2 linked regions of the Callithrix jacchus genome follow. The protein of the gene in region 2 purifies or fractionates together with the protein of the main gene of each other region. This does not show direct contact. Links are inferred from orthologs where the notes say so. Each region holds a gene or a part of one and is shown on either strand. Other genes may lie near its edges. The genes, in order: IREB2 and CIAO2A.

Evidence for each region.
Region 1: the proteins of CIAO2A (region 2) and IREB2 purify together in Homo sapiens (affinity purification with mass spectrometry; 3 studies listed by BioGRID and IntAct, with this or other methods). This does not show direct contact. The link is inferred for Callithrix jacchus from reciprocal best matches to the Homo sapiens genes CIAO2A and IREB2.

What each region holds. Positions count from the first base shown.
Region 1 is NC_133509.1:25,860,906-25,864,720, reverse strand, and holds part of IREB2 (iron-responsive element-binding protein 2), read right to left. Parts: intron 1,672-3,815; coding exon 1,486-1,671; intron 764-1,485; coding exon 653-763; 3' UTR 1-652. UniProt on the Homo sapiens protein: RNA-binding protein that binds to iron-responsive elements (IRES), which are stem-loop structures found in the 5'-UTR of ferritin, and delta aminolevulinic acid synthase mRNAs, and in the 3'-UTR of transferrin receptor mRNA.
Region 2 is NC_133509.1:10,897,019-10,901,566, reverse strand, and holds the start of CIAO2A (cytosolic iron-sulfur assembly component 2A), read left to right. Parts: upstream 1-1,433; 5' UTR 1,434-1,615; coding exon 1,616-1,739; intron 1,740-4,548. UniProt on the Homo sapiens protein: Component of the cytosolic iron-sulfur protein assembly (CIA) complex, a multiprotein complex that mediates the incorporation of iron-sulfur cluster into extramitochondrial Fe/S proteins.

The sequences.
Region 1 (3,815 bases), about 15 Mb from region 2:
CACAATCAGCTGTATTTTGCCATGGTCCATCTTCATATGTGGAAGGAACCTTGGCTGGATTGGACAGAATGATTGTGACTTGGGGCAGGTTCTATCCCTTGCAGTGTAACTAAGGATAAACCTGGTATATGACAAACTAAGAATGCCAAATATGTCCAGCTCAGTTCTGAAAAGGAATTAATATACTTTCAAGGTCCACTTACAAATCAGAGTCCAATAACCACAATTTTAGAGTCTAATCTGGCTTCTTATATTTCAGTCTGCTACTCTTAAACCAACAAACAGTAGTACACAGTTTTATAGGTGCAAAACTAAACAACTCCAGGAAGGTTACTCATATAAGAATCTTCAACACGAATTCTGCCTTTATTTACAAAATGGTCTGATAAAATATCCCCCCCCATACTTACAGGTCTCTTCCACAACACACTTCACACGTTGATTTTAGCAATGTTAATAGCACCATTCGTAAATTATTTAAAATCAAGAAGATTTCTTTTCAGTCACTACGTTGATTCATCATCATGTACATCCATGGATGAGAGAAGTGAGTATACTGGGACTATCTGCAGCTCCATGGTAAGGATTCCTGGGTCCAGCACAAAAGGCTTTGCAGTTACCAGTTATGAAAGGTATCCATGGTAAGTAGATACTATGAGAATTTTCGTGCCACAAAGTTTAATAATCCTCCATGTTTGTATAATGTTATTTCCACATCATTTTCAAACGAAGCAATCACGCTGAATACTTTTCCAGTGCTTGTCTTTAAAGAAACAAAAACATCTTAAGTGAGCACGTAAATCTTCCAGGTGCTACTCGATGGTTAAGACCATCTGTCTTCACATTCAATGACTATACTTGCCCCATAGTCTGTCTGATTTCTCCTGGTTCTAATTTCCTATATTCTGATTGCCTGAAACTTTTCTGCTGCTTGAAAAACACCTGAGATACCTGACCATGGGCTTCATAGCTAAGTAGAAAAACAGTTGCAGTTAGATTTTGACTTATTAATTGGGGAAGTTATACTCACTACTCATATTTGTTTTACACCAAATATCCACTGCCTATAATGAGTAACTCCTACTCTTTTCCCTTTTTTTCTTAGTTGTAAAGTCTGTGCTGCTCTACCCTTGTAAGTTCAACTTTGCCTTCTCTTTGGAGTGGTATATATACCTGGGTTAAAATTAGATCAGGACAGCAAAAACTGAAAACCATGAAAAGGAAGCTGACACTTGTTAAGCGGAAGTCAAGATTACCCTCCACGTATTCTTTTTTTCTGGTGTAAGCATCTAGTTCTTTCCACTTTTCCTCAGAGAACACCAACTATTATTAACATAGATCTAAGTATGAAGGAAAGAGTCATTTTAAATGGCAACTTAACATTCTCTAAGTGACATTAGTATATAATTTACAGCAATTGATTCTTAATCAATTCATAAACATCTGAGTAGAGTGCATAATCATATTTGAAAATTTTAGAGATACCTGTATATTCAATGTAATTCCAGGAGCCAGTTCTTCAGGAAATGTTAAAGAAAATGTTTCTCTACCGGAGAGGCCCAAGGAATCTGCATTTTCTCCTGGAAGGAACTGAAGTGGAGCTATGCCAATTCCAATCAAATGATCTTTGTGTATTTTTTCATAACTTTCAGCCAAAACAGCTTTCACACCCTGTAACAAATGTGCATTTATTTCCTCCATAACTTTCCTTCTGAAAGTTATTTACTGAGCATTTAAAGGGGGAGAAAAATCTACTCTGGCCTTTCTCTAAACACTTTTAGTCTAATACCTCATATTCAATCAATGTTCTATCAAAGTATTTACAGAAGCTTTTTATAGATTATTTTTCTGAATTTCTGAATTTTTATGGAGCGCCCTAAATTATTCTGACCCCCTCCACTGCTCTAGGGTTAGGTACTACCGCTGCTTACCACATCATAAGAGCTCTGTAAATGGGCTGGCTCCTTTGACCCTAAAATAGGGCTCAGGAGAATTTCTACTTAAACACAGCAGATGAAACATTCAACACTCTTGAAATGAAACTGAAATAAAGGAATAAAGAAGGTATATGGGGCCAGGTGCAGTGGCTTATATGGTTATAATCCCAACACTTTGGAGGCTGAGGCTAGGAGTTTGAGATCAGCCTGGGAAATATACTGAGACCTTGTCTCTACAAAAAATAAAAATAAATAAATAAATAAAATTAAAAAATAACAATAGGCTGGATGCAGTGTCTCAAACCTGCAATCCCAGCACTTTGGAAAGCCAAGGTGGGCAGATCACTTGAGGCCAGGAGTTTGAGACCAGCCTGGCCAACATGGTGAAACCCAGTCTCTACTAAAACCACAAAAATTAGCTGGATGTGGTAGCAGCGGAGGGGAGGTCAGAATATTTTAGGGAGCTCCATAAAAATTCAGAAATTCAGAAAAATAATCTATAATCCCAGTTACTGGGAAGGCTGAGGCAGGAGAATTGCTTGAGCTTGGTAGGTGGAGGTTGCAGGGAGGTGAGATCATGCCACTGCATTCTAGCCTGGGCAACAGAGTGAGACTATGTCTCCAAAAATATATATAAATAAATAACAACAATAATAAAGAGGGTATAAGCCCAGAGCAACAAAGGGAATAGAATGAGTGAATTCTATGAATATTTAGAAGACAGGTAACTGATTTGGATGACAATGTTGAAACTAGAGAATGATGAAATGAAATTAGGGAGCAACGCCAATAAGGTCTGAGTTAATGTGCAATGCAGGACCCAGGAAAAGGACTGAGATTCAGAGGTATGAGGTTCTCAGAATACTGGGGGGATACAGGTTATAAGGCCACATAAAGCAGTAAGATCCAGCTCAATCCCCACTCCAGAAGAATAGAGGTTTATTCTCTGGAAAAAATGAGCCAAAGGCTCTAGACTTCTGTTTTTCAACTTTTTTCTCCACTGTCTACCTAAAAAGCCTTTTTAGACATTTTTCCATAATAGTGTCTTCCTGTTCACCCCCTTCTCTCCAAAAGTTTAATACCACTAAGATGCCACGTATCTTTTTATGTACTCTATATTTGTCTGTATTTTATATGTAAAAAGTAAAACTTTTTTTTTTACCACCTAAGAACCAACTTTTGTTCCTTGGGAGTGCCATCACCCCTTTAAAAAAATTTTTTTTTACTTATTTTTTTGTGATAGCGGAAATAACGAAGAGAATACATTCTCTAGACTGACAATCACTGGGCAGAGGGGAAGCTTGAGAATACGACACCGAAAACAGGACTAAGTAGAAGTCTACATCCTGAATGAGTCTCTTTCCTTGAAGAAGCTGAACAGCCTCAGAGAAAATACAGATAATGACATACAGAATCTCTTAATGAAAAAGGCAGCTTATCTACCTATCACCTATAGTAAGGTCCACTAACTGACAAATCCAGCTCCCATCCACAGCTTGTAATCATTTTTTTTTAATGTCTAACAAATGGACAGCCAAGCATTACCTGCCATATGCGGAAAGCTTCCAACATCAGAAACAAAGACTATGACAATTTCCAGGATAAAAGGAACCTATACCTACCATTAATACTCATAAATAATACTTATAATTAGTATGTTAGAAGGCTGTGATTTTGGTTTATTCCCATACCCCTCAGAGTATTTATAATTTTAAAGGAGAAATTAAAGGTTAAAGTAAGAGTGAGGTCTACATGATATCTGTGTTGCAGCCAGCCTTTTAATAGCTACAATTGTAAAGAGAAGCACTTGTGAGTATGAAATAGCAGAAAGCACATGTCAAATGACTATTTTTCCCAGCAGATGGCCTCAAGGAAACA
Region 2 (4,548 bases):
TCACTAAAACCTTTGAAAACCTCTACGTGCCATCAATCCATGCCAAGCACAGTGCCCTCACAGAGAGTGTATAAATTATTTCGATTGAGGTCTGTGAACAAGACTGCAAGAAAGTTTCACCACTTATTCCTTGGGCAACATTCAGTTAATTCGGTAATATAGATATTGAGCATCTATTGTGTGCCTGGCACCTTAGTTTCAGATACAGAAATAAGCTCCCGGCCCACTAGGTGCTTACAACTTACTAAGGGAGAAAGTTATGTAAATCGACAATTCAACATGTTCAATGCTATGATGTGCTCTGGGAGCACAGGGAAAAGAGATAATCAACTCTGGAGAATTCATAAGGCCTAACAGAGGAAGTGAGACCTCAGTGTATTAGATGTGGCTGGAAAAATATTAGGATTATCCTCTCAATTGCTGTGGAGTAACTGGAGTGAAATAGACGGCAGGGAAATTATTAAACCCTGACCAAAATTTCCCTGGGACCTAAGCTGTTCATTGGTGATTCAAAAGCCTACATCAACTAGACATGACTGGAGTTTAAAGATAAATAGGCATGTTAGGAGGGGGCAATTCGGCAAGATAATCCTATCTTCTCAATAGAGATGGCATTTGTCACCAACTTCGACAAGAGGTTTAGTGAGTTTGTTTGTAACTGCCAATTCAGGGATGGGCTCCCTCACAGGTCAGGGGAGCTGTTTATCTTTGTATCTTCCATGCCTATGGATCACTCCTGGCAAATTAGTACCTATAACTTTGATCGGAGGGATGGGTGGATAAAACAAAATCATCGATTTTGTTACTGGCATCCATGACACCCTCGAACACCAGAGGGCTTAAGATAACACTTTTAAGGATGGCGATCTCCATTATGTCACAACTGTATGCATTAGACACAGGAAACGTTCTCCTGCTCTAAGTTGTTTTTGAAGGCCATTAACAGAAATATTCGTTCCAAGGTGGGAAGCTGTGCTGGACTGAATCCCTTAGGAGACAAGAAAGCCAAAAAGCCCTCCGCATGCCATGCCTGACTACCTTACAGGCTTCCCATGACATCCCTTTTCAGAGCAACTGACACCCACTTCCTGTCCGATCAGGAAGTAAGAAAGATTTTGGCTGTTAGCGTAGAATAACTGTAGAGTCTCCGTGCTGAAAACCTCTTCCAGCACTAGAACTCAAGATCTCCTTTCCCCTACCTCTTCGGGATTTATCTTTAGCTTATCACAGATGCTGAATGAGATAATCAGTGGCAGTTAACAGACCGTTACATTCCCTTCTGCCCGCCGGACACTACAAGTCCCAGAATACAGTTCGCTGCCTTCCAAAGAAAATAGCTCACCCATCCCAGCATGCAATGCGCTAACAAGCCGCGAAGATTTTTTTCTCGTCCCGCCGAAACAGAGCAAAGCATTCTGGGACTTGTAGCCCTTGAGACGCCTTTCCGTAGGTCCTCCAAGTTACTCCGTGTCCGGTCCCGCCTATTCTCTGCTCCCCTTAACGTTTAGGCTCGTCTCGGCCCACTTGAAGACCAGGAAGTTGATCAATCCCGTGGACGGCTGCTGAGAGACGGTGGCGCGAGTGAGACAGTCGCCAGGGATGGCTGAGCGTGAGGATGCAGCGGGTGTCTGGGCTGCTCTCCTGGACGCTGAACAGAGTCCTGTGGCTCTCGGGACTCTCTGAGCCGGGAGCTGCCCGGCAGCTCCGGATCATGGAAGAGAAAGCGCTAGAGGTTTATGGTAATTAATTTTACCCAGCACAGCATTTGGCGTTATAGGTGCCGGCGGGAGGTGGGGGGTGCGGGGATGACGGCCTCACTTGAGGGCTGGGAGGGGAGACTTGTTGTGTGTGTGTGTGTGTGTGTGTGTGTGTGTGTGTCTGTCATGTCCGGACGGGGTCCTAAGTCACGCGGGAGTGTGTGTGTGTTGTGTGCCACATCTTGTCCGGAGCGTAGCAAGCGCTTTCTTCGGGGTCCTAAGTCACGCGGGAGTGTGGGTCTTTTAGGAACTGGGCTCTCCGTAAACCTGGGGCAAGCAGACCCTGGAGGTCTTAAATGCTTAATTCTCCACGTGTGGCCTACGTCTTAGAGACTATTCCAAGACTTGTGGGCAGAGCACAAGTCTAGGGTGTTTGGTTAGGAAGCAAAGCTGGCCTGATTGCACTACTAGAACTTCCTCTAGCTCCTGGACACGCACTCCTGCTACCACTGAGGGCACTGGTGGGTGACAGTTGAGTTGGGGACTGGCCCAAGGTCACAGCCACTCTGGCAAAGTCAGTAAACAGAGGTCCCCAGAAGAAGAGAACAAGATTGGCTTCTTGTAGCAAGGCCTTGTATATACACTCTTCCATGTTATATATTAAATATTTTCTATTTAGCCTTTGGGTCCATCTTTATTGTACAAATGAGGAAACAAAGGCTTAACTACCTAGAGGTCACACTGTCTGTAAGGAACAGAGCAAAAACTAAAGGCTATGCCTTCTGCTTCTAAACTTGATGTACTTTCCACCACTTCACAATTGCCTTGCAACTTTTAAAAAAAATTATTTTGTATTGTTTTTGAAAACCAAAAAGACCGGATATAATATTGAGAGATCTAACTGTAGAATACAAATATAATTCAACTATGAGAGCCAGAAAATTCCTTTTCAGAAAACTCTTGTTTCCCTAAATCCCATGATGACACAACTCTATGAAAGAGAAGCTTTATCCTCTTTCTTGCCTATGTTTCCAAATTGTTTCTTTTTTTTGAGACGGTCTCTTCCATCATCCAGGCTGGAGTGCAGTGACACAGTCTTGGCTCACTGCAGCCTCAGCCTCCCGGGTTCAAGTGATTCTCCTACCTCAGCCTCCTGAGTAGCTGGGATTACAGGCACGTGCCACCACACCGGCTAATTTTTATATTTTTAGTAAAGACAGGTTTTTGCTATGTTGGCCAAGCTGGTCCCAAACTCCTGACCACAGGTGACGCACTTGTTCAGCCTGCCAAAGTGTTGGGATTACAGGCGTGAGCTACCGTCCTTGGCAAAATTCTGTTTCTAATCAAGTGACAAACACAGGAGAAAATTAAAGACAAAATAGAGTTTGTTTTTGTTTTTCCCAGTTGCATTTCTGATTGTATATAATTTTGTGTGATAAATAATAGAACAAAACTTCAGATTATAGAACCTCAAGCACATTCTATGTAAAATTCTGCTTCTTTCCTTTCTACTTCACCATTTCTCTTTTTTTTTTTTTTTTTGAGACGAAGTCTCGTGGTCGCAGCTCACTGCAACAACCTCTGCCTCCCAGGTTCAAGCAATTCTTCTGCTTCAGCCTCCCGAGTAGCTGGGACTACAGGCATGTGCAACCATGCCCAGCTAATTTTTGTATCTTTAGTAGAGATGGGGTTTCACCATGTTGGCCAGGATGGTCTCGATCTCTTGACCTCATTATCTGCCCGCCTCAGCCTCCCATCACCATTTCTCTTTATTGTTCTCTTTTCCTTTATCTCTTTCTCCAGCCTCAGAGTAAGAAGGAAATCCTATCTTCTCCAAGGCCAACCTAGACTCCTACGTAATTAATCCCATCCCCTTCTGCTTATTTACAAGTCTCCTCTCCTCCCCACTTATATATGCAATTTCTCTCCTCAAAGTTTCCTTTATCCTTGTCGTTGTTCTAGGTTCCTTATAAAGCCACTGTCCTTTCCCTGTTCCTCCCTTCCCAGCCAAGGCCCTAGGAAGACATTTTCAGTTCCCACTTGCTTCCCCTTTTGCAAGGTGGCTTCAGCCCTCCCCCTCTCTACTGAAATTGTTTTCTTACAGCTGACAGGGTGACAAATGAAAGCCCTGTTTTAGCTGTCATCAGCCTGACTTTTTCTGCAGCATTTGATAGTATTAACCATCCCTCTCTTCCCTTCTCCAGTTCTTTTTGCATTTATTTCTCATTCTGATCCCTAAATTAGGTGCTTTGCATGGATCTGTCGGGTCTGTTTTTCTTTATACCACTTATTCTCACCCTGGGTTGCACCTAAGAACAACCTGAGGAATTTTTTTTTTTTTTTTTTTTTTTTGAGACGGAGTTTTGCTCTTGTTACCCAGACTGGAGTGTAATGGCATGATCTCGGCTCATGGCAACCTCTGCCTTCTGGGTTCAAGCAATTCTCCTGCCTCAGCCTCCCGAGTAGCTGGGACTACAGGCGCGCACCACCATGCCCAGCTAATTTTTGTATTTCTAGTAGAGACGGGTTTTCACCTTGTTGACCAGGATGGTCTCGATCTCTTGACCTCGTGATCCACCCACCTCGGCCTCCCAAAGTGCTGGGATTATAGGCGTGAGCCACCGCGCCCGGCCAACCTGAGGAATTTTTAAAACTCAAAGGCCAGCAAACCAATTAAATCAGAGTCTCTGGAATTGGGGCCCAGGCATTAGTTTCTTTCCTTCCTTCCTTCCTTCCTTCCTTCCTTCCTTCCTTCCTTCCTTCCTTCCTTCCTTCCTTCCTTCTTTCTTTTCTTTTCTTTCTCTCTCTCTCTTTCTTTCTTTCTTTCTTTCTTTCTTTCTTTCTTTCTTTC